3 linked regions of the Lonchura striata genome follow. The protein of the gene in region 2 purifies or fractionates together with the protein of the main gene of each other region. This does not show direct contact. Links are inferred from orthologs where the notes say so. Each region holds a gene or a part of one and is shown on either strand. Other genes may lie near its edges.

Region 1 (9,791 bases), on a different chromosome or scaffold from region 2:
CTGTCCTGGCTCAAGGCAGGCTGAGGTCAGTCTCTCCCTGGGGCGTGGCTCTGGCCCTTGGAGCTGATGGATAATTGCAGAGGTTTTGATTTCACCCCTTGCCACTTCCCTGAGCCCTGACCTGCACACAGCAGTCACTGCTGTGGCTGTCCCCCGTGGGCTGTCTGCAGAGCACGGCTGCACCGTGATGAGCCCCGGGACACAGTCCTCCACCCCTGTCCCTGCCCCCGGTGCCCCCCGGTCCTGCCGTGCTGCCCCCCTCACCCGGTGCCGTTGTGCTTCTGTGCCCGTCTGCGTGCACCCAGCCTGGGCAAAGAAGATTCCTACGGAATGATTTATTAACTATAATATGGTTATAGTTCCAGATCTATAAATACATGCATAGTGGGTATAGTTTTATAATAGAAGGCATGTTTGCCAGTGGGCAGGACGGTTGCACCTCGAGGTGATGGTGCTGGTGCCAAGGTGATGGTGTCGTTGTGACTGGCACAGGGAATGGCAGGTCCCTGTACATGGTGTCACAGCTGGCTGTGTTTGTTGTCTGTTCCTCGCAGTAGACTTTAAATGCCCTTTTGGCAGCAGCAGGCCCTGCCCCTGCTGCTGTGTTGCTGTTTGCAGTGTGTGTTTGCCAGCAGATCTGTCTGTAACCAAGTGCCAACCAGTAACCCCCAACTACTGATCCCTTCCCCTGTCCCTCCAGTGTGGCCTCCCCCAGGCAGGAGCTTCCTCTGCATTGGCTCCTACCCCTCTGCTTCCAGCCATGTGTGTAACTGCCATCGCCATCGGTTTTATATGTATGATAATTTCCCTTTTATATGTCAGGTAAATATTTGTAAGAGTTATACTCACACAAATGAGATTATTATAATGATTACTAATATATTTTTTCCATGTTTCATCGCCTGAGTAAAAACTGTGTTTATCACTCTGGAAAGCTTTCTTGGTGTTTGTGAGGTTGGTGAAGAGTTTTGGGAGGACTTGGCTTTACTTTGCAGAATGGGCTGTGTTCTGCCTGTCTTTATTAATGTGGTTTACATGGCAGTTGGTTTCAAATAAGTACAGTAATCATGTGTTCCTGAAATCTGCATTTCTGACCTCTGAAAGTCAGAGCTGGGATGACTTTTCTGGCCCTGTGGCTCCCAGCACACGGTGATGGTAGTGAGCCATGGCAGGGAGCTCAGACAGCAGGAAGAGCTGAGGCAAGCAGGATGGCAGGCAGGAGAATCCTTGGCCTAATCCCTGCACTGACCCTGACAACCCTCTGAGGCCTTGGGTAAATCCTGCTGGGAGGCTGGAGCCCTGAGGGCTGGGGGCTGCAGGAATGGTTCCACTGGGCTCCCAGCCCTGTAGGGGTTTTCTGTTGTTCTCTTGCACATCTCTTTTGGTGGGTTGGAAAATCTGAAGTGGTTTTCCCCAACTTGGCTGCTACTCATGATGAGAAAGGGACTTTTCTCTGGATGGAGCAGGTGGGCTTGATCAAAACCTTTGAAAGCCACCACGAGGTTCTGTGTCCAGAGACAGTTTCCAGAGCAGGATATGGAGCAGAGCTCGGCCCATCCACTGGCACCAGTGTGCTGCTCTGCCCCAGTGCCATTGCCCAGCCCGTGTCCTTGGGGAGCTGTGTCCTGTCCCCCAGCTAAGATGGCATTATCCCAGCCCCAGCACTCTCCCAAGCAGATTAGCTGTAAGACCTTAAGACAAAACAGCAGCTACGCACCCCACACTGCACACTGCTGAGGATGCCTGCCCTGAAGACCCTGCTGGCCCTGGCCATCGTCACGTCCCTGGCTGGAGAAAGTAAGTGTCCCCTGGCTCCAGGCAGCACAAGGTTGGGTAAATCGCTGTAGCTGCTCTTGCGCTTGCTGCTGCCCTGTCCCTGTCACCTGCCTCGGGCTGGTGTGTGCCCAGCGGGCCCCTGCCCCACGCTGCTCCCACCCCTGCAGGAAAATAACGTTTTGGGGAGGAGGGTGGCTTTCTCCTCTGACTAGCACCAAGAGAAGCCCCTGTCCCTTGCCTATCTGCCACTGGCACAAAGCCTAGGCATGCTGTGCCCAGCAGGGAGCACAGAGTCTCTGGTCTCCAGCTCTGATGGAGGCTCCTGAGCCAAGACCCTGCAGCTTCTCTTGGCTAGAGCTGTGTTTCCCTGTTAACTCGTGGTTCCTCCAAGGCATAATCACAAAAAGCCATTGTAAAAGGTAGGGGGGAAGCTGCACTGCTCAGAGCAATGCCATGGAATCGGGGCAGCTCTGGACACTTTCAGGAACTTTGGACCTAGGCAAGAAGAACACGACTGTATTTTTAGCTCAGGGCAGATGAAAGGCTGTCCCGTGCTGTGGGGAACAGCAAAGGAGACACGGCAGAGCCCAGCAGCGGAAGCCGGGCCATTGTGGGTTAATGGAAGGCGCTTACTGGCATCTGACCCCATGAAATCCCAATTTTCCCCATTCACGGGTTTTCTCTCCGAGATGAAGGTGGAAGCTCTGGGCCGAGCCGGCCCCGCTGCCACGAGAGGGCTCTGCTGTCAGCAAAGCAGAGACGAGTTCCACCTCCAGCACCAGCGCTGGTTTATCCGGCCCCATCAAAACCGAGGATTCGTCATTTCAGGCAGGAGCAGGATCTTCAGGTTTGGGTTTTTCTGGGGTGTGTGTATGCTTGGAGGGGTCACACAGCTCTTGCACCACTACCAGCTCTGACGCACAGGAGAGAGGGGCTGGCTGCTATCCAACCTGCCTGTGGACCTCCTTTAAGGACGATCCGGAGATGGCTCGTCCCTCCCGACTCACATCTGCCTGGCACTTTACTGCCTGTCACCCTGCTTGTCCCCAGGCCGCACCCTCGGGCTGAGCTTCCGAGTACAGTGCAGAATGTGGGAGCTGCTCCCACAGGTTGCATGGATTCTCCCTTCTCCCTCACAAAATATTTATTAAAATGAAATCTGGCACAAGAAAACAAAGATCTATGATGGTTTTAAAATATGATGTCTACCTATTTTTACTGTAAAAGGAATTCCAGGACTATCAGGGAGTCTTTGCAGGGCAAGGACTCGGCAGAGCTCATCTGCCAAGTTTAGCTCTCATCATTTTGAGTCACACTTGGAAGAGTTTTGCATTAATTTTGTGGACAGGTGAGGCTCAGTCCTGCATCCTGCTGCACGCCATGGCAGGCCTGGCTCACGGCTCGATTCTGTCTGGTGCCAGCCCTCACCCGTGACCTCCCTTGTCCCTGGGCCAGGGGCCACCGGTGTCTGTGGAGACCCACAGACTGTCGGGGCACTGGGGTCTCTGGGACAGTGCATTGCTGTCACTCCTCCTCCTCATCTTCACCCAGGCAAGGCTCTGAAATGCCACAGATGTGTCGCATCCAACGAGAACGACTGCAGCCAGCAGGGATCGCACAGCTGCCCCCAGTACGCCGACGCCTGCTCCACGATCACCGCGCCCAGTGAGTCCCTTGGCTGGAGGGCCTGGGGGCTCCAGGGGGAAGGGGGGTAGGACCGTAAGGTCTTGGAGGGGACCAGAGGGGCTGGGAGTCGGAGGGCGAGGAGAAGCAGGGAGCCTGAGGCAGAGCAGGCGGTAGCTTCTTGCGGGTAGGAGCGCAATCCTGCAATTCCGCACCCGTGCCGCACCGAGGTGTTCTTTATCCCGTGCCGGTGAAATCCGGGTTCCCGGGAGGGCCTGACCCGTGTCGCCTTGCCTTTCCTTGCAGACAGCGTCATTAAGTCCTGCTCCTACAAGTCCTTCTGTGACCAGGCGCGCCGCGGCGGCTCCGGCGGGGCCACCGTGCGCTGCTGCTTCACCGACGACTGCAACGGGCCGGCGCGGGGCTCCCGGAGCGGCGCGGCGGCCGCCGCGCCGCCGCTGCCCGGCCTGCTGGCCGCCGCGCTGGCCGGGACGCTGCTGCTGGGCCGGCCCTGAGCGCCCCGCGGCCCGGCGCGGCTGCTCGCTGCTCTAGCCTAGGGACGCGGGACGGCTCCCATCGCCGCCAGTCCAATAAACGCTGCCGCTGAGAACCGCGTTCGCAGCCTCTCCTTGGCAGGGAAACCAAAGCCGCGAGAGAACGCGCCGAATCGAACCGGTTCGGCTTCTGGTGCCGCCCCGGAGGGCTTCGCTGGGCAGAGCCTGGGATCCCAGCGCACCTTCCCTCCCCGCTGCTCCAACAGAGATGCTTTTGGGCTGCTTTCTGCAACCCGAGGCTCGCCTGTGGAGAGACGTTTCGGTGGCTGCTAAGACATGGGGGGGATGTGAGGCTGCTCTGTGGCCTGGGGCTGTAGGTGGTCCCACAACTCAAAGCTCTGCTAGAAGGACCCCCAGGAGTGGCCCGTGAGGCTTCCTTTCGTGAGGGAGAACGGTAAAAGTGAGTGAACGGTGAGGAGAACAGAAAGGGGAATGATGAAGGGAGCGAAGGATGGCTGGGACCATGAGAATTTGACTGCAGGAACTGTAGTGCAGGGGGAGCAGCAAACAGCAGCTGTCTGCTGGAGTCTGCCTCAGTCAGGACATGAGGAAAAGGGGAACAGGTACTGAAACTGAAAAAAAGCAAGTTTGAACAGAAGAAAATAAATAATTCAGCATGTGCGGATCCAGCCGTAGAACTCACAGCTGGAGGATGCTGCTGGAGCAGAGACCTCGGTGAGTGCTGGAGGGTGAGAGGGTCAGAAGTCCTGCAGAACATGGACATAGTCTTGTGAAGGTCAACGTGTGCCTAGAGGGGCGCTGGGCTGCTGCCGCTGGAGCGGAGCACGTGGATAGCAGATTATTCCGTGTCTGCTGTGCATCCTGCTATCCTGCCCTCCCCGGGGCACACAAAGGGTGTTCTGCGCGGGGCTCTGGCTGCTGGTGGAATCTCCAAAGGTCCTGGAGCAGAGACGTGCCCTGCCCCAGACTTCCCTCATGTTCCCTCATCTGCTGATGGGGTGTCCCAGTGAGTGCCAGGGTCTGCTTGCACCCCCCCACATGTTACAGCAGAAAAACGCATTGGAAAATCTGGGAGAGCTGCCAGGCTCCCGGAATGAAGGGAAAGCAGCGCTGTGAGTCGCTGCCGTGTGACCGTGCCCGGAACCCAGTTCTGCCCCGGGCTCCGACGGGTCACAAGGGCTGCGAGAGCTATGAAAATACTCCGTGGAACAGTTTAGTCTTTGCAAAGGGAGGGATGGGAAGAGAGGGAGGCAGCGATTGCGGGGCAGGGCTCGAGATCGCCGGGATGCCGGGAGCAGGCAGGCAGCAGTGGGAAGGAGCGGACCAGCGTGGGACGGACAGGGGCTGCGGGTGTCCGTGAGCAAGGTCCCCGCGTATCCTCGGCGGCGGCAGCACCACGATCGGTTTCACCCGCGCCGGGAGAAAGTGCGTCGGGGCCAGACGGAGTTTCGTAGAGAAAGTGCGGCTTCCCCGGGCCGGCACGGGGGAGGCAGCGGGTGTTTCCTGCTCCCAAATTCACCCCGAGCTCACTCCCAGCAGCAGCTTCCCCAAGAGATGCTATTGCACGAACGGCGCCCCGAAGTGGGCGGCTCATCTCCGTCAGTGCCAGCCTCAAACACCGACCGAGTGGTTTTGTGTCGGGTCTGGGGGAATTCACCGGGGGGGGCCCGAGCTCGGGGCACGCAGAGGACCCGCAACAGGCTGGCACTGGGAGCGCACCGGGCCGCCCCCACCCCTCCCCGCGGCGGCGGCCGGGGACCGCGGCAGGTGCGCGGCCGGACGGCGATGGGACGGAGGGACGGACACCGGCCCCCCGCCCCGCGGAGCCGCCCCGCGCCCCGCACTCACATCCGGGGCCGGGTTTGCTAATGACAGACGTAATTAACCCGGAAAGAAGCGGCGGCGGAGCCAGGGCACACCCCCTCCGCTGCCCGTCCGCCCTCCCAGCGCTGCCCGGCGTGCGCAGCGCCCGCAGCCCGGCCGGCCGCCCCCCGCCGCCCCGGCCATGCGCGGGGCGCGCAGCCCAGGGACGCCGCGGGGTAAGTGCCGCCGCGGGGACACGCGTGGCCGCCTGCAGGCAGCGCTCGCCCTCGAGAGACCCCGCGGGCCGGGCTGGGAGCCCTCGCTGTCCCGTCCCCGTCCCCCGGCCCCTGCCCCCGAGTCCCCGCGTTCCCGGGCTGCCGGAGCGGCTGGAGGCGTCCGTGCCCCGCGGCGCCGGGGGCCGCTGGGGAGGTGGTCCCGGGGCTGGTCCCCTCGTCCTTGGCGGAGGCTCCGGTTCCTGCAGCTGGATCATCCGCGCCGGGGCTGGAGTCGAGCCCTCCCGGTGCGAGCGGCTTCTGCTCGACGGCTCCTGCAGCGAAGCGTCAGGGGCAGGGGAGCGGGAGGCAGCGAGGGGGGCGGAGGGGTCCCCGTGGAGCTCCGGAAATGCTGCAGGCACCATCCTCGCCGAAAGTCTGGGGATGGAGGCAAGCGTGGGGCGGGGATCAGGGGTTTGCAGCTATTCTGTGTGTTCTCCGAGTCTCTGTGGCAGATGAAGAGCTGTATCCAGCCTCCTCCTCCCGACAGGCTGATAGTTTCATTAAGGCAAATATCTGCAATTAGTAGGAGAGAGTTGCTGGGCGCTGCCTACCCCGTCTGTCTCGTGGGTCGGGACAGACGTCGCGGGGTGAGCTCCGGGAGCTCCTCTGCAGCCGCAGGTGAGAGGAAGTGGAGCTGCAGCCGCTGCGGGCACTGGGCAGCGCAGGTCCCGCCCTGCTGGCATGGAGAGAGGGTCGTCCTGCACCGGCACGGCTCGGGTGGACAGGTGTGAGAGAGGAGGGCGTTGTGGCTGCCCACAGGTGCGATGGGTGCTCTGGAGGGAGGTGCCGAGGAGATGCCTCCCGGCAGCACAGCTGTGATGCTCCAAATGCCGGGTCTCCCATCGCCTCGCGTTTTCCTGCTGCAGAGTGCTCCTGGCTTGCTCCTGTGGCTGTAGCTCTGCCGGGGCCGAGGAGGGCACCCTGAGGTGCTTCCTGGAAAGTCTGGCTGTGTGGCTGCACACGAGGCCTCTGAGCCACCCCTGGCTGCAGCGGGGACCTGGGTGCTGCATGGACAGTGCCCTGCCCCTCCTGCCTCTCCCTGAGGAGCACTTCCCTTTTGCTCAGGCAGGCAAGGGGGTGGTTTTCTGTAAATGTTTTTCTGTAGCCCAATTGTTTGCCATGTCATTCACTGAGTCAGGAAAAGGGTGTCCTCTTGGGTGAGATATTGTGATTGAAACAGCTGGCAAGTTGGTTGCTTTACAGGTAGGAAAGAGTCCTGGAAATTTCTGATACACTTCACCAGGAAACTGAGCATTTTCTGGCCCTCCTGGATTTCCTGAGCAGGGTGCCCCACATGTCAGCACAGCTGGAGATGCTACTTTTATAATTTTCTTATGGAAAAGTGCAGTTCTTGGTGGTTCCAAAGACTGACCATTTGTGTTGTGTGGGCAGTGGGATGAGAGGGGACAGGAACCCAGCTGACTTGGTGCAGAGTGTGGGACAATCCCAATCTCCTCTCCCATCCCATCTCCAAGTGCAGCCTGAGGTCGGTGTGCACAGAAGGGCTGAGCTGGTTTGTGGTCTCCCAGATGAGCCCGTGGTAATGAAGGATGGTGGTGGGGGGACACAGGGACTGGGGGCTCATCTCTGTGCTGCCTGTGGCACCTTCTGCTCCTTCCTCATCTGTCGCCTTAGCAGAAATCTCTAACCTTTGCTGTGAGCAGAAAGAAGGGTTTATGAGGTTTGGTTTGAACGTGTTGGTTGAAGGTACCTAGGGATTGGCTTTCCATGTGCTTCCCCACCACAAAAATAACCCCACAAAAAAGCAGTGAGACTTGAAGTGCCCTCAGAAACCTTTGTGCCAAGGCGCTGTCGTTGGTCTAAAACAACCTCTCCCCCTGCAGCAGCACGGTCCCCATGAGCCAAGATACCATCTCTGAAATGGTGGTGATAGATTGAGATCCTGACTGCAGGTTGACTTGTTTTCTGCCCCCTCTACCTTTGCAGCTGCACCGCAGCTCTTGCACAACCCTCACCTCCCCGGGCCCCACTCCACTGCAGCTCAAAAATAGTATTTCCTCCTTTTCTGCATGAGTTCTTTTATTTGTGTAGCTCTGCTTCTGGCACCTGCGTGATCACCACTCTCCTGCCAGACAAACCACACTGGGTTCACTGACATCCTTTGGGTAACGGCTGCTCTCATCCCTGCCCTGCACCCTGTGCCGTGGGGAGACAGCTCTGCCCGGGCAGGGGACATGTCCTGCCCAGCCTTGGGGTGCTGGTTCTGCTCCCCACGCAGGCTGGAGGTGATGACAGCGTCCCCACTGCAGCCAGGGGCCCTGACGGAGACCTCCCGGCTGGGGGGCAGTGCTGGGGGGGGTCCGTGCCCTGGCAGACCTGGGGACACAGCGTGGCCCTGCTGTGATGGGTCATTGTTTTCCCTGCTGACTCGACATCCTGGCTGCACAGATTTTCTGCTGGAGTTGCAGATTGTTCCCCGTTTCCTGGGAGTGTGCTCAGGCTCCCTCTCGCATGCTGCTTTGGGATTTTTTTCGCCACAGTTCTCAGGGATCTGGTGTCTTGTGTCAGATCCTTTGTGGCTGCTCTGTCCTCCCTCATGGGGTTTGGTGGCTCTTGGGGCTGGGAGTGGTGGGTTGGTTGTTGTCCCTCCCATCTCCCTCTGGAGAGCTCAGCTGTGGCCGAGAGGCTGCGCTGCCATCCTGGAACACCTGGCTGGGACGGGGTGGGTGTGGGGGCAGTTCCCTGGGGCGCAGAGCACCCACCTCCCCCTCCTGCCCCCACCCCACAGGGTGATGCCAGAAGGAGCCCGGCATGCCGTACCTGGACCGACAGAACCGTATCTGCGGGTTCCTGGACATTGAAGAAAATGAGACCTGTGGCAAGTTTCTGCGGAGGTATTTCATCCTGGACACCCAGGCCAACCACCTCCTGTGGTACATGGACAATCCTCAGGTGGGCACGTGTGCCGGGTATGTCCGTAAAGTTGTCAGGGAGTCTGTGGGCACGTCCCAGCCTCCCTGGAGCAGGCATCTCCTCCGGGCCTCCCCAGGTCCCTGCCTGCTGTGTCAGTGTCCTGTGGCTGAGCGTGGTCATGACCAGGCTCCAGCCCTTCTGTGACCTCTGTGGTCTCCAGGACTGTCCCAAGGAGCAGAGCAGAGCTGGTCTCCCTGCTGAGGGGTCTGAGCTGGATCAGGTGCAGCACAGGGAAGTGGCTGAGGACAGCAGCTGCTGCCTGACCCCAAGGGCACAAACGACAGGCTGGATTGCCCTCGCCACCTTCTCCCTGTCATTTACCTCCCACTGCTCGTGCTGTGTGTTGCAGAACCTGGCCATTGGAGCAGGTGCTGTTGGATCTCTGCAGCTGACCTACATCTCCAAGGTAATGTTGGGGTGGGGCAGAGGGAAGGTGAGTGCTCCCTGCTTTCCCCTTATCCTTGTGGCATTCACAGGAAAGGCGATAGCTTGCCCTGGAAGCACCCAAGGCCAGCTCCTGGTCCTGCCTGGGCTCGTGGCCATCTCCCTGGGATGAAGCCTGAGTGGGGCTGTGGGAAGCAGGGAGGCACGCCGTAGCACAAAGATCCTGGTGCCCGGACCACCAGGATGGCCACCAGTTCATCTTCACCCGTGGAGTGGTGAGGGATGGGGTGAAATGCTAGGCTGCAGGAGGAAGAGGAACTGCTCTGCTGTGAGGAAGGACACGGGGTGGCCGGGACTGAGTAGGGACAGGAGCATGGTGTCATCATGAGCTGGGTACGGAGCTTGCAATCGGCTGGGCAGTGCTACGGGAGCTCTCCCCTGTGCTCAGAGGGCAGCACCCTGAAGGATGAGACCTTCTGGA
Region 2 (10,631 bases):
TCATAGCATAGATTAGGAAACATGCAATGCCAAAGATAGAAAACATAGTAATAGGCTTTGCCCCATAGCTCCTGCATTACTTGAAGTGCTCTGAACATACAGAGGAAATGCCTATCTGAAGAGTGATCTCTAAGCCCAAACTTTGGCTTGGAGTTGCATGAGATTAAATCTATTTCAACTAAGCAGCAAGGTAACCACAACAAGCATGTTATAGCTGCTAAAAAGAGTATTTTGGAACTTCTAATCTAACACTTAGGCCTGTGTTTGTCTGGGCTAGAGATATCCTTTAGTACTTGATTTTTATCCTATGTCATCTCTCTCCCCGGTTTTCTGGTTATCACTCAAATTGGCATATTGTGTATTCTCTGTATGGAGAAGGAACAGAAACTAAACCACACAGAAAACGGAAGATGCTCATTACTGCTAAATTTTCTGCCTTGCCTGTAGATCCTAAGAGCTCTTCCATTTTCCCACTTACCTCCTGAAAACTGGCTACTAACCCCAGGAGGAGAACTAAGGTGGATTCCCAGACTCCAAATAGTCTTGAGAAAATCAAGGCAGTTGAAATGTTCACAGTAAATTGAAAGATCTCATGCTTTTCTATGTATTTTTTGTAGCTACTTTTCCACTGTCACAAATGCAATTTTGCTGTTGCATACAGCATTTTTCACACAAAGGGTGCAAAAACAAATGAAAGAGCAATGACCAATAGAGAAAAAGAGACCAAACAAAAAGAAAAATTAATGTGCACTGTTCCACAAGGAACAAAGCAGATTTCCATTGACTACCTGGAATGTAACAAGCAAACAAGAGATACCTGACATCTACATTTGATAGCGATGCTAATGGAAATTGTTCTGAGACATTCAAAGTAGAAATAAAAAGGCAGTATTGCACAGCTTATATTACAATTCTAAGGACTTTGAAAAGATGTTACTAGCCTCTTGAAATTTAGCAAAATGCTGAAAGCATCAAAAATACATAGAGAGGTAGTGGCTCTGTATGTTGAAGAAAAGTTCTGTGATAGAGCTGAACAGTACCATGTACTTTGAATCAATTATGAAAACAGAATTTTGCATATTCAACTACTTGTAACCTTCTGTATACATCACTTTAATGTATTAAGGAAACTCAAAATGTTTTTCTATTAACTGGCAATCTGTTCACTGTGTATAATTAATAATTTTCTGTAACACTGTAAGAAGCCCTACATCAGCATAAGATATAATATCCACGGTAACTGACATGCTAATAATTGCAAATGGGAAATGGGACTAAACTATCCATAATGATTGCACCTACTGATAAATGTGTGTAATACAGTGTATTCAAAATTGATTTGCAAAGAGTATTCCAAAAACAACAACATAGTAGGGAGTTTCTGGTGGGGTTTGTTTGAATCTTTTTGGTTAATGAAACAGATAATCTTCTACAAAAAAGAAAAAAAAATCAGTAAATATCTTAAATTAAGATCAATTGGAATCTTTCCACATTAGCTTCAGAAACTGAAAAGCATCTTTTTAGCATATGAAGAATATAGGGGACACTACATATACCGAACTGATGAAATACAGGAATGATTAATACTGGCTCTTTATGTTTTCAAGCATAGGCAATTGATAACCATATTCATTAAATTCAATTAAACCTGGTGAAGCACAGATTTTACAGCAGCTGCACCTCAATGTATATTGGATTCTTCACAGAGGTGACAACAGCATACAAAGCCTCTCCAAACAGCTGCCATTTAGCATCAACAAAGAGTCATCATTTTCTCTACAAACTAAAACACAAATTTCTCTTTGTGTATTGACAATAACAAGTTATTTATACAGAAAATCATAACACTGTGTAAGAAGACCACTGTGCAAGGGGTTTCAGATGTAAGAACAGGGTCTGAGTAGCCTACAAAAGAAATATGCTATTATTGCCAAGGCCAAAAATAGCACATTTTTGTATTGACTTGTCAGGAACACCAGCAGTGAAACATGACTGTCCTTATCAATGATAATATAGTATCCTGTCAGCATGGTATTATATTAGCCAAAACTGCTTCACCAGGATGCTCAAATAATGCCTATTAAAAAATGTACCAGATGCACTTCACCAATTTTTTTGTGTGTGTGTGTGAAACATGGAGCAGAGATTAAAAAGTTATTCAAAATGCTTCTCAATATACTGAATAAGTGCTACTTGTTAAAACAAAACCATCTACAGCTATCTGCATGACTGAGAAGATATAAGGCGTTCCTGCCTGAAGAATTCAAAGACCAGGACCCCACCAGGGTCAGGTGGAATAAAAAGATCCATTAGTACCGATGTAGTGCAGTTCTCTTTCCCTGGTGCTGATAGTGATCTAACTTTTCTAGCGCATTTCTTCGTAAAGAGGAGAGAATGTATCCAGTTCCTAGTGAAAAGCTTCTACAAAGCACTAAGGAAACCAACAGTAACACTATATCTAATCATTAAATGTTACATGTATGTTACTGTTAACAAGATAGGAGACATAAAAATATGCAAACAAAAATTGATAACCATTTCAAAAAATTGTGCTCTGTCTAAAAATGCTGCTTGTTAAGGTGGGTATGTCTCATACATACAAAATACATAAATATATTCCAATTGCATTCTTTTCTTTTAGTGTTACAATTACTTTCAATTTCCACAGAAGCATCAAGTAACACTGAAAAACTATTTTACCACTTTCTCCTTTTCCAGTTTAGACTCTTCCCTACCAAGGAGTTGCTGTTTCCTTGGGAAACACAGAAGTGATAGGCAAAGCACAGGGCACCACACAATACAATTTCAAAAACTACAGAATTCAGATCCTTCCTCTTTATCTCAGTAAATCTCTGCTCTCCTACTGCGACAGACTCCTGACACCCTTTCTGGGACCAAAGCCAGTAAGGATGTTTCCTATCCAAGAGTTTATAGTTAAAAAAAAAAAAAAAAAAAATCTAGACATATTAGGACACAAATATATAGCTGGACAATGCAGTGTTTATAAAAGCAAAAGAAAAGGTAAAGGGGAAAAAATTTTTAAACTACAATGTTTCTCAGGCAAACGGCAAATCAAATCCGTTAAATGCTGTACACGGTTCAAAAGGTCGGCTTTGTGAGTTTTTGTTTTTCTTTCTTTCCTCCTAATACTCTTTCCAGTAATATAGGGAGGTGCTGGCAGCAAGGGGGGACACGGGAAACGAACCATCCCTCTCCTCTGAGCAGCCAGACTCATCAAAGGCCACAGCTGCAGGTGGCCCCTTGCCCTCTGCTTCCACCCAGCCCAAGCCGCTACGTTTGAACGCGCCCCGCGGAGCGGCCGGACCGCTACCGCGGGCTCGGACCTGCGGGCAGCCCGACACCACCGCGGCAACAGGTCCCGGTCCCCAGGACACCGCCAGGGCAGCGGGGCCTCGGTCCGGCCCCGGCTGCGAGCGAGAATCGGCGCCCACGGGAGCCGGCCGAGGGCCGCGGCCGCCGGCACGGTCGGTGGCAGCGGCGGCAGATGCGGAGACCTCCTCCCGTCATGAAACACCCGCGGGGGGTAAAACAGGAATGCGTGAGCGGGCAGCAGGGCTCCGCGCCTGTGTCAGGGGAGTCTCGGCTTTTGTTTACGTGAGGACAACGCCCCGCCAGGCCGCTCGAGCCCGCGAGCCGCCCGCCCGCCGCAGGCCAGAGCCCGGCCCGGCCCCGCTCGGCGGCGGGGAGAGGGGATGTGCCGGGACACAGCAACAGGCTCGGCCCGCGGCCCGGGGCTCCACGGCCTCGCCTCCTCCGGCCCCACCCCGGCAAAACCCTTCTGATCAAATGAACAATAATAAATAAAAGTTCGAGGGACAAACGCGTTTTAAAAGGTCGCTTAAACTCCAGCGAGGCGGAGGACCCTTCCCGGCCCGCATCCCCGCGGGACGACTCAGGAGGGCTCGCCCCGCTCGCCCCGCCCGGCCCGGCGCCCTGCTTACCCCAGCCGCTCGGCGAGCCCCACCGCCCGGCCCGGCTCTCCGCCCTCCCCGCCCCCGAGTAGCGGCGCCGAGCGAGCCGCGCCGCGGGGCAGCGCGCTGGGCACGCCCCGGCGGCCTGAAGCCCAACCCCGCACCGCCGGCCGCGGGGCTCGCCGGGGCGGGCGGGGGCCGCGGGACCGCGGGGCACGCTCGGGGCGCCCGGCCCCGTCCCTGCCCGCCTGCAGCGCGGCCCTTCCCGCGAAGTTTGCCTCCCCGCGGAGCGCACGCCTTGCCGGGATGACACCGAGGAGCCGGGCTGGTCCGGTTCAACTCTCCGGTTCGCCTGCGAAGTGAAGGCGGCGGCAGGCTGGTCCCTGTCTCTCTCCAGCGGTGCGGTGCCGCCTGCGGACGGGCCTGGAACGCCAGGACACCGGCCGTATCCCTTCTCGTGCAACAAGATGAGCCGGGCCTGGAACGCAGGAAATGTTTGCAAATGCTATAAAAAAAAAAAAAAAAAAAAAAAAAAAAAATCTTAGATAGCAAACAACACATGATGAAGTTTGACAAAATGATTTATAAGGTCGTGGAATTAATAAAGGAATTACTTTTCCATCGATGCAGCAGCTGGTTATTGTGTTAACTAAAAGTAAGGAAGATGTGTGTTTCACATACATACAAGAATAAAGCGTATAATGCAGAGATGTTTGTAAAGACCACAAAATATCCGAAAACATAAGTTCAGCTAATGGTGGAATTATTTTTGCTATTTGTTAACTTTGCTTCGACTAGCATATGTCATCAAGGTCACTGTTTCCCCTATTCCTTTACATAAGATAATTTTTTTGATGTCGATGTTCTCAGACAGCTCAACTGAGGTAAACCCCCTGCAGAGGGAGATGGACCACAGCTGCTCCACTCGGCGTCTTGGCTCTGGCTTTGCAGAGGCTCCATGAGCTTTTTATCTTCTTGCCTTCTGGCTTAGTTTGTTCTTTTTCCAAACAGATGTTAACCTTAAGAGTCATCATAACTTCTAGTAGTTTGTGGCAGGGGGGTGGTGGTGCTATTTGGTTGGTAGACTTTTTTGGGTATTTGGTGCTTTTTTTTTTTCTTTCCTCACACAAAAATTTTAAAGAAACCTAATGTTATGAAGCTAGAATGGAGTACTGCCCTATCTATTTTCAATAGTGTCAATAAATGCAATCCCAGTACAAACACTTTCTTTAGCAGAACACTTAATGTGTATACTTTATATTTGTACATAGCATGGTTCAGATTTTTTTTTTTTTATTTGGAAAATTAAATTCTGGAAAAGTTTGAATTACAAAACAATATTTCTCTTGCTTGCTCTTATTACAGCTGGTTGATTGAAAAACTCCAAATTAATTGCTGCCTTTTCCTCTGCTGAGTATTAAAATATTTTTTAACAATAGTTCAACTTTTTAACAATATTTCTTCCACCTTTTTAACTAAGAAATGTAGTTTTCAAGATTTTATTCACAGGTTCCATTGTTCAGTCTGACATGAGCTCATAAGCATATTACTTTTTTAATCAAACACAGAGGCTCTGCTGTAGCTAAGACATTGAATGATCTATAACTGTCCCACCAACTTTCTGTGTTACATCAGCTTTTATTGAATTCAGAATAAAATTTTAAAAAGAAGTTACAGTTTGTTTCCAAGTATCATTGTTCAATGAATAAGCCACAGTTGATTAGATAAGTACAAAAAGAAAATGTTATTGTTATTTTTTCCTGTTGCTCAGGCTTTAACTACAGGATATGACTGAAAGCAGATGCAGTGATTACATTAAGTTTATTTGGACAAAAAACTGGTCAATATTAGGTGCAACAGTCCTCACAATGTACAACAGCATCCCTTGTGTAATAATTCTTCCCATTTCAATTTGTTTTTGTATAGGATATACCTTTCAGAAAGTTTTTTAACATACAGACCGCTATTTTAAAGTAGAAATACATTTTAAATTATATTTATATTTTGTCAAATCCTTGTAGTGAGTATATATTAAGTAGTGAAGTTCAGAACATTGTGCTACCTGAGGCCTTGCCATATTAAAAAGATTTGCATAAGTATATTTATGCCAACATAGCTGTACACAGAAACTGAACCCTCTCATAAACACACAACTGTACATGCAATAAACATAAAACTGTAATGGGAATTAGCATCACAGTAATCTAATGCGCTTTTGCACACAGTAGCTGATGACACTGATGAAGAGCCATGCAGGCACAGTTCTAGCAAATAGCAAAGCAAATTGTTATGGTTCAGAATACACAACTGGACTCATGGATATATTTGGTACTACCTTTAGAAATTAATTTGAAAGACATCAGCCATTCATTTTGACTTATTTCTTCCTTTTATTATAAAATAGGACCTCTCCAGCCCCTTCCTAGAAAAAGGTCAAAACGTATCGATTATTTCCTTGGTGTGTTTCATGTGATACACAATGCTTTAAGTTATGTCACAGCTTTGTTAGTGTAAGGAGTGTGGCCATTGGTGGTATATAATCTTGAGGGATCCTTCAAATGTGAGAAAAGAGAATCTACTTTGTATTTCAAGGCTAAATGTTTTAACAAGCTACAAATAGCTTATGTGTCTACAAACGCTTATTCAAGTGATTGTAAATAAAAATTGTAAGCAATTTTTTAAATCATAAACTTTCCTCAGAAGATAATTATTAGTGCAAAATCCATAAAAAATATTGTCAGAAAGGACTCTTAAGGAGAAATGGAAGGGATCTAAATAAACCCTTATTTTATGTTCTCTAGTATTAACATCCTGATATATTTCATTTCTCAGGTCAATTTATAATATACTCATGGTCGAAGTATCAATATTGGATGAGATGTCTGCCTTGCTGATTTACTTAAATAAATAAAATATTAATATTAATGATTTACTGCTTAGATTTATTAGAAAACATGAAGGAAAAGTAAACTGAGAAAAAAAAAGCCTTTACAGAAATAACAGGGGCACCAGAAACAAGGCTATGTGTCCATTAAATCATTCATTAGACTGCTGTTGGGGATGCAGCCTTTTAAAATAGTAATGGGAACAGGATCTAACCAATGAAATGAGAGTCTGGTTCTGCTCTGAGTCACAAGTACTGACTTCACTTTGAGAAGATGCTGCCTATGAAACATATTTGATGATATTTATGACACAGATCCATTTATTCCCTAAAAAAAAAAAAAAGAAAAAAGAAAAAAAAAGTGTTCTTAACAATAATTGTCAATAATTGTTTGTTTCATCACTGTGGGTATCATATTTGGTATGGGCATTGTTATTGCATGGTCCACTGCAGAATGGATAATATATATATATTTTTTTAGGGACCTAGAAGCACCCTGTGAGGGAGTCAGGAATATTTATAAACTTTTTATTTATGTTTGAAGTATTCCATCCCTGAATTTAGAAAATAACATGGAAATGGACCAATAAACACTTTTCATAAGTATTACCTTGATTAAAAATTGGATAAACTTTTCTTTTATAGCCTTACTCTTCAATATTACAGCATAATTTTCTTAATGTATATTCATATGTATATATACATACATAGACACAATATTGTACTTTTCATTACAGCATTTGCTCACCTTTCAAGCTCAAAACCTACTAATTACCGTCTTCCATGTTAGAGAATGATAATTATTTATTATACATAAAATTTTATTCATGGCTATGTAAAGCAAGAGTAACTCATTGCATTACATGGAATTAAGCTGTAGAAAACCAATCTGAGATCAAAGGTAACTATGATCCTAACTGCAATAGCTGCTAATCTAAATATATTAAGTATGCATTTATCCAAGGATGGATCACCATCTTTTTTCATGGAGCTCTTACGAGTAGAATAAGTTATACTAGCAGAAGCATTCAGTATTAAATATAACACTCTTCTTCATTTCAACATAAAAGGTACACTGCAAAAGTCAGATGGTGTAACTACACAGTTACTTCTGTTACTGGAGGTAACACCATGTATATTGTTATACAGAGCAAAAATTGGGAACTTTCTCTTAACTTTTGTGTTTGAAATGTACAGGCTTTGGATTATTATGCTGGCAAGTAGTGAATATTAGTGTCACTTCCTGAAGCATGCATATTTGCAAGAATGGAGCATAGATTTGCATTTTAAAGATTCTTTGGGAAATTGTCTTCCCTGCAGACATACTTCATAACAGTTATTATTGATATTGGAGGTTGCACATACACGTACAAGGGGAAGTATGCCCTGTAAGGTAAAACAGAGTAAAAAAATCATAAAAGGTATGTTAATTATTTATAACTACAAAACAAAATACTTGCAATTATGACAAATTAAAAGGGCACTTATTTACACACAAACAGGATTGTTTAAAGCCACAGACCTTGCCCATAGCAGAGAAGTGAAGCTAAATAAGTGACAATGCATATTGACGTTATCATAAATTATTCAGACACAAAATACCTACAAGGAGTGTCTGGTTTTGTCAGATTGCAGTTTTTTGGGTTTTTTTTTTCCAAAATTGTGGCACCTGGGTCCTTTAACCACCAGGAGTGGCACAGTGGGTCAGGTTTTCAGGAGCCAGATAGCTGAAGGAAAGCTTCCACCGAAGGTGGGAGGACACTCAGGCTGCTTTGATTTCCAGAGGGTTTATTGGAAGGGTAGAGAAGGCAGAGGTACAGGGAAACAACCACTCGGAAGGGGAGCAAGCTCTGAGAGCCTCATCCCGCGCGCGGGTGAGGTATTTAACAATAACAGGGTAGGAGGGTCAGGGTACATTATAACCAGTGAGGGAAAGGCTCAGGGGCGGAGTAGGGGAAAACTGACAGCGTAACAACGAATAGGGACAAAGGGAAGGAGTGGCCAAGGAGAGGGAGCCAACCAGGGTACAGAGAACTGAGAACATTCTGGAACAAAAGGATGGCTTAAACAATGATAGACGCAAGCAAGGGGAAGGGATAACAAGTGATTGACATTGGGGGAGGCGGGAATCTACACATTGGTTATTACCACCCAGGGTATCTCAGGGGGACTGCCCCCTGGACCCCCTCCCACACAAAATGTATTTTGCCATAGTTGCCACATATTTGACAGACCCCACTCTCAGACAATCTAATTTTTAAAGTTTCTCAGAAGTCCTTCAAGGGACGTTGTTGAGAGCAACATGTGATCTGTTATACTTGTCAATGCAACAGTTGTTTCAATGTTTGAAAAGATATAGCAATATCTTATTAGCAATACTTGTGTTAGATATATTAGGAGGTACTGCATGACATATCCTTTAGAGATTCAGAATGGAAGGAACCTGACCTGACCAGTTCAGGAGTTTATGTACAGATGAATTAGTGAAACTAAGTAAAGCACAGCAATATGTACAGAATGATTTGTTGTATGGCTCTGCAATTTATCACTATCCAAATAGTATTTACCTCTGTGTGCACTATTTAGCCAATCAAAGTATCTGATATCTTGTCCTGTGTAGTATATGATGCAGATTGCATTTAAGAGTACACATTACCTTCAAGTCTCTGCTTCTGATCCAAATGTGAAATTGGACATTGTTTTGCTTTTGGTGATGTTCAGAGTTAAAACCTCAGGAAAAAGTACATATCTGAATTTGCAGTCTTAGCCCTTTTGGTCCCAGAAACATTCATTATATTACCCATTTTGGATAAATAGTTCCTTGTGTATTGGACCATGTCTTAGGTTAAAAGATTTAGCTGAGTTGTGTATTTGCCATCTGTTAGAAGTGGGGCAGTTATCTTCTGCTAATTAGGCATTTTTCTTTAGCTCTTCCATATGCAATCCTCTCTCCAAAAAATATATTTTGTTAATGGGCCATTGAGCCTCACTACATGACTGATAAAAATTACATAACTGCATGTAAGATACTCCACCCAGGGGGAGGAGCCTAGCATTCCTACCTGGATAGAATCTGAGATTTAGAACAGCCTTTTGCCACTAGATTCCCAGAAAAGCAGCTGTCTTCTCCCCTAGATTCCCAGAAGAAAACCAGACCCATCTAAACCACCACCAGACCTTCAAAAGAAAACTACACCCTTCTACAAAATCACTCAACAAAACCACATTTATTACTCCAAAAAGACTACAACCACAACTAAATCAAAACTACTACCAACACCCTGAGCAGCAGGGTAACCATCAGGTCATATTCTGACTCTGTCAATAGTCAGAATATTCTGACTCTGTCTTTTTTTTTTTTTTTTACTATTACATTTGTATTTTTAATTTTCCTAGTAAAGAACTGTTATTCCTATTTCCTTATCTTTGTCTGAGAGCCCCTTAATTTAAAAATTATAATAATTTGAAGGAAGGGGGTTTACATTTTCCATTTCAAGAAAGGGTCCTGCCTTCCTTAGCAGACACCTGTCTTTTCAAACCAAGTGGTATCAATGTGGTATCACTACACTGTCCCATCATGGACTAGTATTAGAGCTGTAGTCTGTTTGAGAAGGCAATAAAGCTTTGCAGTTAGCTTTGCCAAGGCATTGTGTGTACAGAGAGACCATGCAAAGAACCCTGCTCCAATGCTTTTCTGAAGGAGCTGATTCCACATGGCTCTGCATGTTCTTAGTTTTAATTTACATGTAGAGAAGAGGCAGAAATGTATGTCTGTGTCCTTTCATCTTGTTTGTAGTATAAATGAACTTTAGGTC
Region 3 (10,361 bases), on a different chromosome or scaffold from region 2:
CTGCGAGGTGCATTTCATCAGGTCAAGTAACTTGGCTGGACAGTCAGGGAAAATCAGGCTCTAAAGGGCCAAATGAGGTTTATATTTATATAGAAAAGAAGAAATGAAAGGCTGAATAATGCTCTAGTAAGTTGAATTTTAATGCTGACCTGCTAACTTGTAGAATTCTCTTTTTGCCCATTCCCAACAATTCTTTTGTTGGATCATTCTCTAGAACAGCCTTGACATACCATAGTCACAATATTCATTATTCACTGTTTTTCCTTTTCTCTCTTACCAGAGCCAAAGTTCAGGATAAGATCCAGCTTATCAATAACATGCTGGATAAGGTCAATGAGATGATCATTGGTGGTGGGATGGCATTCACCTTCCTCAAAGTGCTCAACAATATGGAGGTAATGAAGAGAACAATTCTATGTCTGCTCCTATTGAAGAATGTGGTCTGAATGCCCCTTCCATGTTCTGGGATTGAGCATTGGTTCTCTGCAAGAGTAGGGAGCACTGAGAAATTACTTGACAGTCCCTTGCAAAACTCAGATTGCTGCTATATCTCTCCATGTGCTTTAAGAAAACAATCTTTCAGGAATTGCTGCCTGAGCAGTTTGGGTGCTGACATTCTCTTCTGTCATGTCCAAGAGCTAAACAAACACCTCCCTTATTTTTCCCAAATGTTTCCTTTAGATTGGCAACTCTCTGTTTGATGAAGAGGGATCAAAGATTGTCAAGGACCTGATGGCCAAGGCAGAGAAGAATGGTGTGAAGATCACTCTGCCTGTTGACTTCGTCACTGCTGACAAATTTGATGAGAATGCACAGACTGGGGAGGCCACAGTAGCTTCAGGCATTCCTGCTGGCTGGATGGTAGGTTTGAATGGGAAAGGGAGGAGCAGTAAGGAATCGGGTGGGTAGGACACCTTCTAAAGGAGTAGAAAGAGTAATTGTGAGCTTTGGCAAATGTTTCTGGGGGCTGCCAAGCTGTGTAGAGTTTGTTAGTTTAATGAAATTGAAGCCCTGTTGTTTGTTCTGAATTTTTAAGTCTAAAGTATCTTCTGTGAGATTTGGATTAAACCAGCAAAACTTCCCTCCCAGCATGCAGATCTGAATGCAGTAGAAATCCCTTCTTTTTGACTAGAATTTAAGTAGCGTTGGCAAAGTTTTCTAGCTAAGGCTTTGAAAATTTGACCTTAATTTAAAACTGACTTACTGGTGTTAGGAAGATAAATACCCCCTTGCCAGACTCCACCCTCCTGCAGCAGCTGCTGGCAAATCTGTCTGTGAATACAGAGAAATTCTTGTTTCATGTCTGGGGTGAGGGCCAAGCTTCTGGCTGGGCTTGGGTGATTTTGATCTGGGGGTCAGCAGTGAGTGACTTCTCTCACTTCCCCTAGGGCCTGGACTGCGGCCCTGAGAGCGTGAAGAAGTTTGTTGAAGTTGTGGGAAGGGCCAAGCAAATTGTGTGGAACGGTCCAGTTGGGGTTTTTGAGTGGGACAAGTTTTCCAAAGGAACCAAAGCCCTGATGGACAAAGTGGTAGAAGTAACTGGAAAAGGCTGCATCACCATTATTGGTAAGTAGTTGTGTTCTTCTGTTTCTAAATGCATGGAGGAAGCTTGTGATGGCCAGCACTGTGATAAAAATATTTTCCTCAAGTCCTCCTGCAGCTTGGGCATTCAGTTGGACAAAATGTGAATTTCGTGTGTGTCTCATGGATTCTGCTTGTGCTACAGGTGGTGGAGATACAGCTACTTGCTGTGCTAAGTGGAACACTGAGGATAAAGTCAGCCATGTCAGCACAGGAGGTGGTGCCAGCCTGGAGCTGCTAGAGGGTAAATCCTCTTTTATCTTTATTTGTTTGAGTAAATGTGGAGCTCTGTGTGCTCTACCATGTGTTGGTAGTCAAGAAGGCACAACAGAGGAATGTCTTTTCTGTCCCACCATGTGGAGTTAGTTTTTGAGTTAGTCCCACCATGTGGAGCTTTGGAGCTACAAGCTCCTCTTCTGTTCTGTAGTCCTCACAGAGGAAGAGAGGAAGGAAAATGGAATATTCCTGCAAACAGCACAGTATGCTTCTCCCAGAAAGCAAAAATACTGGGACAGAAAACAAGAGTGGGCTGGATTTTGTCACTGATCCCTCAGGACATGGCAATTAGCCTGTTGAAAATGCCCGGTTCCTGTTGGGGAAGCCTCATCAGAACAGTCTGGAATTCTTGCCAGAAGTCTCTTCTTCCCGTTTGCAATTCCCTTGGTTTTGGGGAGCCCTCTAGTGCTCACCGACAAGCCTGCACGAGGGTACTTGGAATTCAAAATGGTGAGGATTGAAGGGATTCTTGTAACGAGTTCCATTGTTCTCTAAACGACTTTTCATTTCCTCTGGTAATTTGCCGTTTCCCAGTGTGTGTAAATTATCCAACGCTGTCAACTCCTCTGGAGAGGAGGAACTTCAATAAACTGCCTTGCAGCTGCTGTTTGCAGGAGTAAGATGGGAGACAGAGCTTTTGTTTCTGTTGCCTAGGGAGTGATGGGGAAGGGAAAGAATGCAGATGGCTCGAAGGAAACGCTGTGTATTCAAAAGCACAAACTTGTCTAAGTTTTGGCCCAAAATATGGGTTTGTGTGTGTGATCTTTTAAATGTAGCGGAAGTCTGGCTAATTAGAAAAGCTTCTGAAGATGAAGAAAGGGGGGAAAATCCCTGAAAACTCAGCAAACTAGTGAGTTGTGAACAGTGTTAAAATTCAGTCCTGCTGCACAGCTTGAGCATTAGAAGGTTGTTTTTCTGAGGAAAGGCAAAACCAGAGTGGTGTCTGTTCATTATTAAAGTAGGACAAAACACTGAAAATGCTTTAGAAAATGTTGCACTGTATTAATCTAGGCTCTTGTACTCAAAGATGAGACTATTCTTTGATTCCATCAGTTGGAAAGAGACATGTAAATGTCTCAACCTGAGTGTTTTAGTTGTTTAAAGACCTGGGACTCTTAGGAGACTTTTTCTCTTAATTAATTCTTAAAATTTCTACCACACTCCCTAGAATTCTATTTACATGCCACTAGGGACTTAAGAAAGTATGCAGCAACTGGCTAAATCAAATCAAAAATCTGTTTGCCATCAAACTTAATGGAAAAGAATGTTTGGTGTTTGGATCTGGCCCTAGCAGAGACTTGCACAGAAATGTGCCATTATTGTTAAATGAAGTTGATGGCTGGGCTGTGTTAGGAATCTCTCTGCTGACATCTGAGTGCAGCTGTGCTCCAGATGGATTTATTGTGTGGAGCTGGTCCATGGAACCTCCATGGTCAATGTGAAGCCAAACTCTTCCATTTTCAACCTGTAATTCCTGATTCACTTTTTAAAATTATATCTCTTTAAATGTAAAGTTGTTTGAGCAGAGATCCTTAACCCTGCTGCTGTGTTTTATCTGCCCCCAGGTAAGGTTCTCCCTGGTGTGGATGCCTTGAGCAATGTGTAGAGAGCAGAGCCCCACGCCCGGTCCCGTGCACAGCCCCTGAGATCCAGCACTTCAGCGCTTCCGTATTCCAGCTCTGCCAGAGGCAGATCCCAGAATGTAAACCGGAACGGGACCTTGGAGCAGAGAGAGCAGAGATTTTCCTGACTGCAGTTTACATGATGTGGGTTTGTCCACTGTTACCCCACTTGAATTAACGTAGTGAGTTCAAGCTGTTGTTGTGAATTTAGAGTGTATATATTTATATTTTGCCTTTTCAAAGAGTTTAATCCCTGTTAGATGTATATCTCAGAAAGGAGTGCACTGTCCAGCTTCCATCCTAGAGGCATTTTCATCACTTGACACGGTTCAAAAACCAGAGGGGACTCCAGTTTTTTGGAGGTTGGTTGTAATAGCTGCTGAATAAACATATTTCAAGTGCTCCCAGTTTGTATGTTGTCCTTATTTCAGATTTTTAGAATGGACTTCATTAAAATATCTTCTAGCATCTGGAATCTGAGCTATTTTTCCTATTTGCTCTAATTATAGTATTTCTAAATCTCATTTTGTGGTTGTCCAGTGGTCATTATAAGCACCAAGTCATCATCAAAGTGAACTTCATTGGTAAGGAAGTAAATTGCCACAGATGTGCTGGGTGTTAAAACTTCAATGCCCCTCATAATAAAGTAAGATGAAATTTTGAATGTGCAAGTAAAGTAACAAAAATGCAAGTTGAACTGCTTATCATCTGGAGAACTTGCTTCATAGTGGGCAACTACTATATTTCATGTCAATACAGGGGGAATTTTGAAGACTGAGACAGGTAAAAATGAAGTCCCTGACAATTGCATTGTGCCTTTGTTCCAGTTTGTGGTCCTAAAAGCACTGAAAGTAGAATGGTAAATCTGCACAAACACTTGAGGTTTGTGTGTGCCTTCAGCACGTGGCAGAATTGCAGATGCTGTCAGTGAAGGCCCAGCAAGGTTGTTCCAGTGCCTGGAGCTGTAGGCTGCCCTGTGCTGGCTGCAGGGCCCAAATGTGAGCACAGAACCAAACCTGGGACTTCTCCAGCCTCAGCCTGGCCTTGGCTTTGGCTTATGGCAGCAGTCACAGCTCTGCTCTGAGGAGAGGCACTGCTCCAGCTGAACTGCTGGTGGGTCCAGGAAAAGTGAGTGGTGTGGGGCAGCCATGGCCTGGTCTGATTCCCAGTGAAATCCCAGCAGTGGTGCTCCCAGGAGGTTCTGCACAGCACAAAGTATTAAGGATGAACCACAGAGGGAGTCCATGAGGTACGCAGCAGGTCACAACACAGATTCTACTTTTCAGTTAATTTCTATATATGAAATATTACCCAAACATGTATGTGTTAGACCAGATATGCTGCCAAATTTTACCTGGTCATGGTGGGGGGTGTGAATTAAAATCCAATAATGCTGAAGTGTGGTAAAGCTGCTATGAAATCTATAGCTATTAGAGTTTAAAGCTAAAAGTGACTGTTGCAAACAAAGTAGAAACAATGCAAATTACTGCAGCACTGTGGTCTCCTTCTCCTCTTCCTCCCCTCCTTTGTAACTCTCCCAAGCATTGTCTGATGGCACATGAATGATGCACATTTTTGCTGTGCTGTGCTCATGTTTTCCAGGCAGGGGTGCAGACCTCCGACAGCTGCAGGAACGTGGCAAAGAAAGGAGGGGGCTTGTCAGCCACAAAAAGACCATGGATTTTGGAAATCCAGTACTACAAAAACAAACATTCCACCATGTCTTGTAACAGATCCTCGTTGTCTGGCTCTGGAAAACAAGACCTCGTGACAGCACAGCCCATTTTTGTGTCACTCTTGTGCCCCTGTGCTGCTAGACTCCCATGGAGCAATAACAGACTTTCCCCCCAGCCCTCCTTTCTGGGTGTTTACTGTGGAAGATTGGTGTGTGGCCACTACTTCTGCTGGCTTTTTTCTCTCTCCATCAAAAGCAACAAAACAAAGCTATCTGTAGTTAAATACAGCAAGCAGTAATGATGCTCTGTACACACAGATGTCTCTGCTTAAAACCATTTTTCCACCTGACTTTGGATGTTCCCTGCTTACATCTCTAAAATATCCTTTTGTTTCCACACGGCTTGTTCTGTGCACTGTTGTGTTCAACACAGGAACCATGGCACGGTAGGGCCAGAGAGATACTCAGCTTTAAATAAAAATAAATTGTAAATAAAAATGGATGAAACACATAAACATGAGACCATATGAGCTGAACACTTGATGGCCAGCAGCTGAGTATTTCAGTGACAGATTTTCCAGGGCCTTTCTTTTAAGTTTTGCCTGCTAATACTTCTTTGATAGGTCAGCTTTTACATTTTTCTTGCTTTTATTGAGAGTTTCTGGGGCAAGAAATCATCCCTGTCGGAAACATTGTGGAAGAAAGATTAGAAGCAAAGCTGTTGCAGAAAGCCCATGATGTAATGAAGTTAATACATACAGCAGGTTTAAGGGGCTGATACTAAGAGCCAGGTGAAATTAAAAGTAAAGAACTTAAATCCTTTGGACACACCAACCCCATGGAACACTGCAGACTGGGAAGTGGAAATTGCCTGGTGGGAAAGGCCCTGGGGGTGCTGGCCATCATCAGCTCAACAGGAGCCAGGCGTGCCAGGTGGGCAAGAGGTCAATGGCACCTGGCCCGTCCCAGCCATGGTGTGGCCAGCAGGACCAGGACAGTGACTGTCCCCTGGCTGGGCACTGGTGAGGCCACTCCAGTGCTGGGGGCAGTCTGGGCCTTTCACTTAAGAAAGGACCTGGAGGGGCTGGAGCATGTCCAGGGAAGGGAATGGAGCTGGGAAGGGGCTGGAGCACCAGCAGAGGCTGAGGGAGCTGGGAAGGGGCTCAGCCTGGAGAAAAGGAGGCTCAGGGGGGACCTTGTGGCTCTGAACAGCTCCTGACAGGAGGGTGTGTGTCGTCCTCTGCTCCCAAGCAAGCAGTGATAGAGCATGGGAGGTTCAGGTTGGATATCGGGAAGAATTTCGTCACGGAAAAGGTCGTTAAACATTGGAAAGCGCTGCTCAGGGAGGCGAGCTCCCCATCCCTGGCGCTCTCCAGGGGACGGCCGGACGTGGCACCCAGCGCTCTGACCAGGTGGGGCTCTCACAGGCTGGGCTCGCTGCTCTCAGGGTCTTTCCCAGCCCCGCTGGAGCCGCGATTCCCCCGGGCCGAGGCGGCTGCCCGGCTCCCCCGCCCGTGCGGAACTACAGCTCCCGGCCGGCACCGCTCGCCGGCCCGCCGGGGGATGCCGGGCGCCGTAGTTGCAGCCGCCTGCTGAAAGTTGCCCGCGGCACCGGCGGGGCCCTGGCCGGAGCTGCCCGGCGTGGCGCGGCCGCCATGGATGTGCGGGCGGCCGCGGGGCCCGGCGCCCGCGGGGTAAGGGCGAGGCGCGGTGAGGGCGCGGGAAAGGCCGGCGCTGTCCCCTCGGGCACCGCCCGAACGGGCCCCCGAGGCGGGGCAGGGCTGCCGGGTGTTCCCTCACGGGCATCTCCTCCTTCCCCGGCGCTGTTGGTGGCTGCGGGGAGGGCTGGGCGTGGGGCGGCTCGGGGGCTGCCGGGGCTGTGTGGGTGGGAGCCGGCCCTGCTCCCCTGCCCGGCTCCTTTGTCAGCTCCAGGTGCTGCCGGGGTGTTCTTTGGCCGCAGGCTCTGCCCCAGCCGCCAGGGATGGTCCCTGCTCTGCCTTCTCCTCCCGCCGGCCCCAGCCACCTGCAGGAGCTCGCCCGCACCTGCCCCGGCTCCGAATTTAACAGAAGCGTCTCCAAATCCTCCCGCTTTGATCTTCGAGAGAGAGAATTTGGAGGGTGATAATCCCCAAAGGGTTAAAAGCTTGCATGCGTGCCTTGGTTCGGCCGTTCCGCTGCTGCGGTTATTGTGCATTTCATTCACAGAGTGAGGCAGGGCCATAAATATTCACCGTGACTTCCACCGCATGGTCTGAGCAGCTCAAACCCCATCGTCTCCGTTCCCGGATACTTTTTGGGCAGGGTGAGGGCTGGGAAGCCAAATGGTCACTGTGGAGGAGCTGTGGTGGACACAGGAGTTGGGGTGATGCTGAACACCAGCTGCTGGTCTCGGTGCTGGCACCAGCCAAGGGCTGGCTGCACATGGTGGCACAGCCCAGCACTCCCAAATTTCAGGCTCCTGGGGACTGTTCAGACTTCTCACAACACCCAGGCCCCGACTCTGGCATCCTCACCTGCCCTCTCCCATCATAGCATGCATAAAGAAGATCTCCACTCAGTTTTCAAGTTAAAATTTTCAGCATTGCCTCTGATAAATGATTTTCTCAGCCCCAATGCAGTATAAAATAGAAAATTCCATTTTAGTTAATTTTTCGGTTTTATTCCACTTTCTAATGATAATTTTTCATTAAGCATCTAATCACATCCTAGCATTTCTCATCAGCAAGGCTCAAGGTGCTTTACAAAAGAGGGAAAAATATGATTATTCTGATTATCCTTATTAAGGCTTAGGTTTTGGGCAGCTTCTGCATATAATATAGGCCCATAAATAATTAAAAGTTCAGTCTAAGAAAGGAGAAATCCCCAGTTGTAAACTGAAGTGCCACACTGAAGAAGGCAGTGTGTTACAAGGCATGGCCTTGTAACCTAATCTCCCTGATCAGAACAGTATCCCATTAACCCACAAATCTCCCCTCTCCTGACCTGTCTGCCCCAAGGACAGGTAATTCCATGTGCAGGATCCAAGGGAGGGAGTCTCAGTGACCAAAAGCAGCCTGGAGAGTGTTCTATTGAAGCTCCCTGGTGTTCAAGCAAAGGTCTTGTGTTCACCAAAATATCCAGCCTGAGCTGAGCAGGGTTGGGCATAGAACTGATGGAGTATTTTAGTAGAAATAGGGTTCAGAAATAAGAGCATTGCTCAAACTGGAGTCTAGAAGATATAGAAAAAGGTTATGGCCTGGATCCAGTTTATCTACATCCTAAATAGAATTCTGACCTGAAACTTGCTCTGAGCTCTTTGTCAAGTTTCATCAAAGTTGGACATGGGCTTTCCTGTTTGGGAATTTTGTTTGCTTGTGCTAAGCTGGGTCTGTGTGTCCCGACACCTGCGTGTGCTGCTGAGGGCTGGCTACATCAGGATCACTGTTTATCCACATAATTCAGCAGCAGGACTACGTGGATGAAGTCCTTGTTCTCATTCCAAGTACCTGCTGTCACATCTGAGTTATTCTGTGGGAATGTTTTTGTTCTGATCTGTGGTTACCCAGCGCTCAGCAATGACCTAATTGCAACCTCCTCGTTAGGCAGAGAAATTTCTGAGTTTGGCTTTGCAGTTCACCTTCTCAAGCAAGTAAAATCTCTGTTCTGTAACACCATCTGCCAGCACTTGAGCCCAGCGTTCATGAGGGATCATGAGGCTGATGAGGGCAGTGTGTGTCTCTGCAACAGCTTCTGCCACTGTAGCATTGCAATGTCTAACTCAGAGCAGGTGTACACCACGTAGTCAATGAAAATTCCTGAGTCTGGTGATCTCCAGCAGCTTTCTTACCACTAAAGGACTTGCACCTGTGTTGGTGTGGTGTTGTGCAATTTCCTGGTAAGTTGGTAATGTAAGAGCAATTACAAATAAAGCTGAAAAAGCCCAGACTGCCTTTTTCTCTAAGACTTAATCTTGGCAATGTTGGTGTAATTTTCAAATGTAACTCAAAGGCATGCTGATTGAAATGAGTCCCAAAGTTCCTTAGGGTCTTGGACAGACCTATATATTGATATATATGTGCTGTAATACCTTCATTTGTATCATGTTGACTGTAGGTCAGTCTCATTGCTGGAAGCTCGGAGTAGTGAGGCATGGCTGGAGCTCCCAGTAATGCTGGTGGTACTGGGATGTGCTGCACATGGCAGGGGAGGACCTGCAGAAATGAGGAAGCTGTGAGTGCAGACATTTTGAGCAGCAGAATTTTGAGGGAGGGTGAGGGGGAGAAATAGAGAAGTCAGTAATAAAAACTAAACCATCACCAGGGTTGTAGGTAATGATGGGTTCCCTAAGAACATTCTTGTGTGCTGCTTAGGAGAGAGAGAAGAGCTTCCCTGGAGAAGTGCATTTCCACACAAGCTTTTGGTTTCTTCCCTTGCCCATTTGTGGAGCACTCACATCTTTCTCTAACCCTGCAAGACATTCTTGTTTCCTTTCATTTACCATGAAATAAGGAGATGAGGCACTGTTGGGCTCCCTTATTGACTTAACTTGTGGGAAGCTCCACGTAAATCCCTGAATTTCCCAGTCCTGACACCCAGGAGGTGTTTGTGGAGTCGAACACAAGGTGGAGGTTCCTGCACAGGGAGGGTTTGATGCTGTCCCAGTCCTGAGCCTGTGACTCTTAATCCTGCCTTGCTTTGAAGTCTGAAGCTCAGGAGTCTGCATTAATGATCAAGGGGCAGAGCTGAATATGGAATTCCTATGGCACAAAGGTAAAGGTGTGGGTTGGAATGTGGGAAGGAAATATTTAAGAGCAGACTGGCATGTATAGTTAATAATATTAAAAAAATAATCATGTTAATGTCCTGTAGGTGCTCAGGTTCTCAAGGCTTTGAGCATCTTCTCATCCCATGTAGATCACTGGTCTCTGGCTGGATCCTGTCATGTCCACAATATTAAATCCCTTGAAGAGCAGAAAACTTCAGGTTTGAAAACTCTTTTTCCTCTGCAGTGGGAAACTTGCTCTGCCCCCTTAGGCAGGAATGTCTGTTCCTCATGCAGTGTTTCAGAGCTGTGCTTGGCATTTGGCTGTCACTCTGTCCCACTCTGCCAAGTGTCAGTGATCCCTGAATGCTTAAAAAGTTCCTTGGGACTCTCAGCAGATGTGAAGCTCTTCTAAATTTGAGATCTGTCAGGAGCAGAATGCATTAGAACAATTATTCCTGACTTT

What was found.
Region 1: the proteins of MPDZ (region 2) and PLEKHA2 purify together in Homo sapiens (affinity purification with western blotting; 3 studies listed by BioGRID and IntAct, with this or other methods). This does not show direct contact. The link is inferred for Lonchura striata from reciprocal best matches to the Homo sapiens genes MPDZ and PLEKHA2.
Region 3: the proteins of MPDZ (region 2) and AMOT purify together in Homo sapiens (affinity purification with mass spectrometry; 4 studies listed by BioGRID and IntAct, with this or other methods). This does not show direct contact. The link is inferred for Lonchura striata from reciprocal best matches to the Homo sapiens genes MPDZ and AMOT.

The regions. Positions count from the first base shown.
Region 1 is NC_134634.1:4,557,873-4,567,663, forward strand, and holds the start of PLEKHA2 (pleckstrin homology domain-containing family A member 2), read left to right. Parts: upstream 1-5,885; 5' UTR 5,886-5,953; intron 5,954-8,741; 5' UTR 8,742-8,764; coding exon 8,765-8,905; intron 8,906-9,275; coding exon 9,276-9,332; intron 9,333-9,791. UniProt on the Homo sapiens protein: Binds specifically to phosphatidylinositol 3,4-diphosphate (PtdIns3,4P2), but not to other phosphoinositides. May recruit other proteins to the plasma membrane.
Region 2 is NC_134642.1:20,457,677-20,468,307, forward strand, and holds the start of MPDZ (multiple PDZ domain protein), read right to left. Parts: upstream 4,388-10,631; 5' UTR 4,235-4,387; exon of another isoform or gene 4,228-4,234; intron 4,065-4,227; exon of another isoform or gene 3,963-4,064; intron 1-3,962. UniProt on the Homo sapiens protein: Member of the NMDAR signaling complex that may play a role in control of AMPAR potentiation and synaptic plasticity in excitatory synapses. Promotes clustering of HT2RC at the cell surface.
Region 3 is NC_134616.1:17,374,377-17,384,737, forward strand, and holds the start of AMOT (angiomotin), read left to right. Parts: upstream 1-6,450; 5' UTR 6,451-6,566; intron 6,567-6,736; exon of another isoform or gene 6,737-6,848; intron 6,849-10,361. Other genes in the region: PGK1 (phosphoglycerate kinase 1), read left to right, coding at 281-395, 682-861, 1,389-1,566, 1,727-1,825, 3,423-3,463.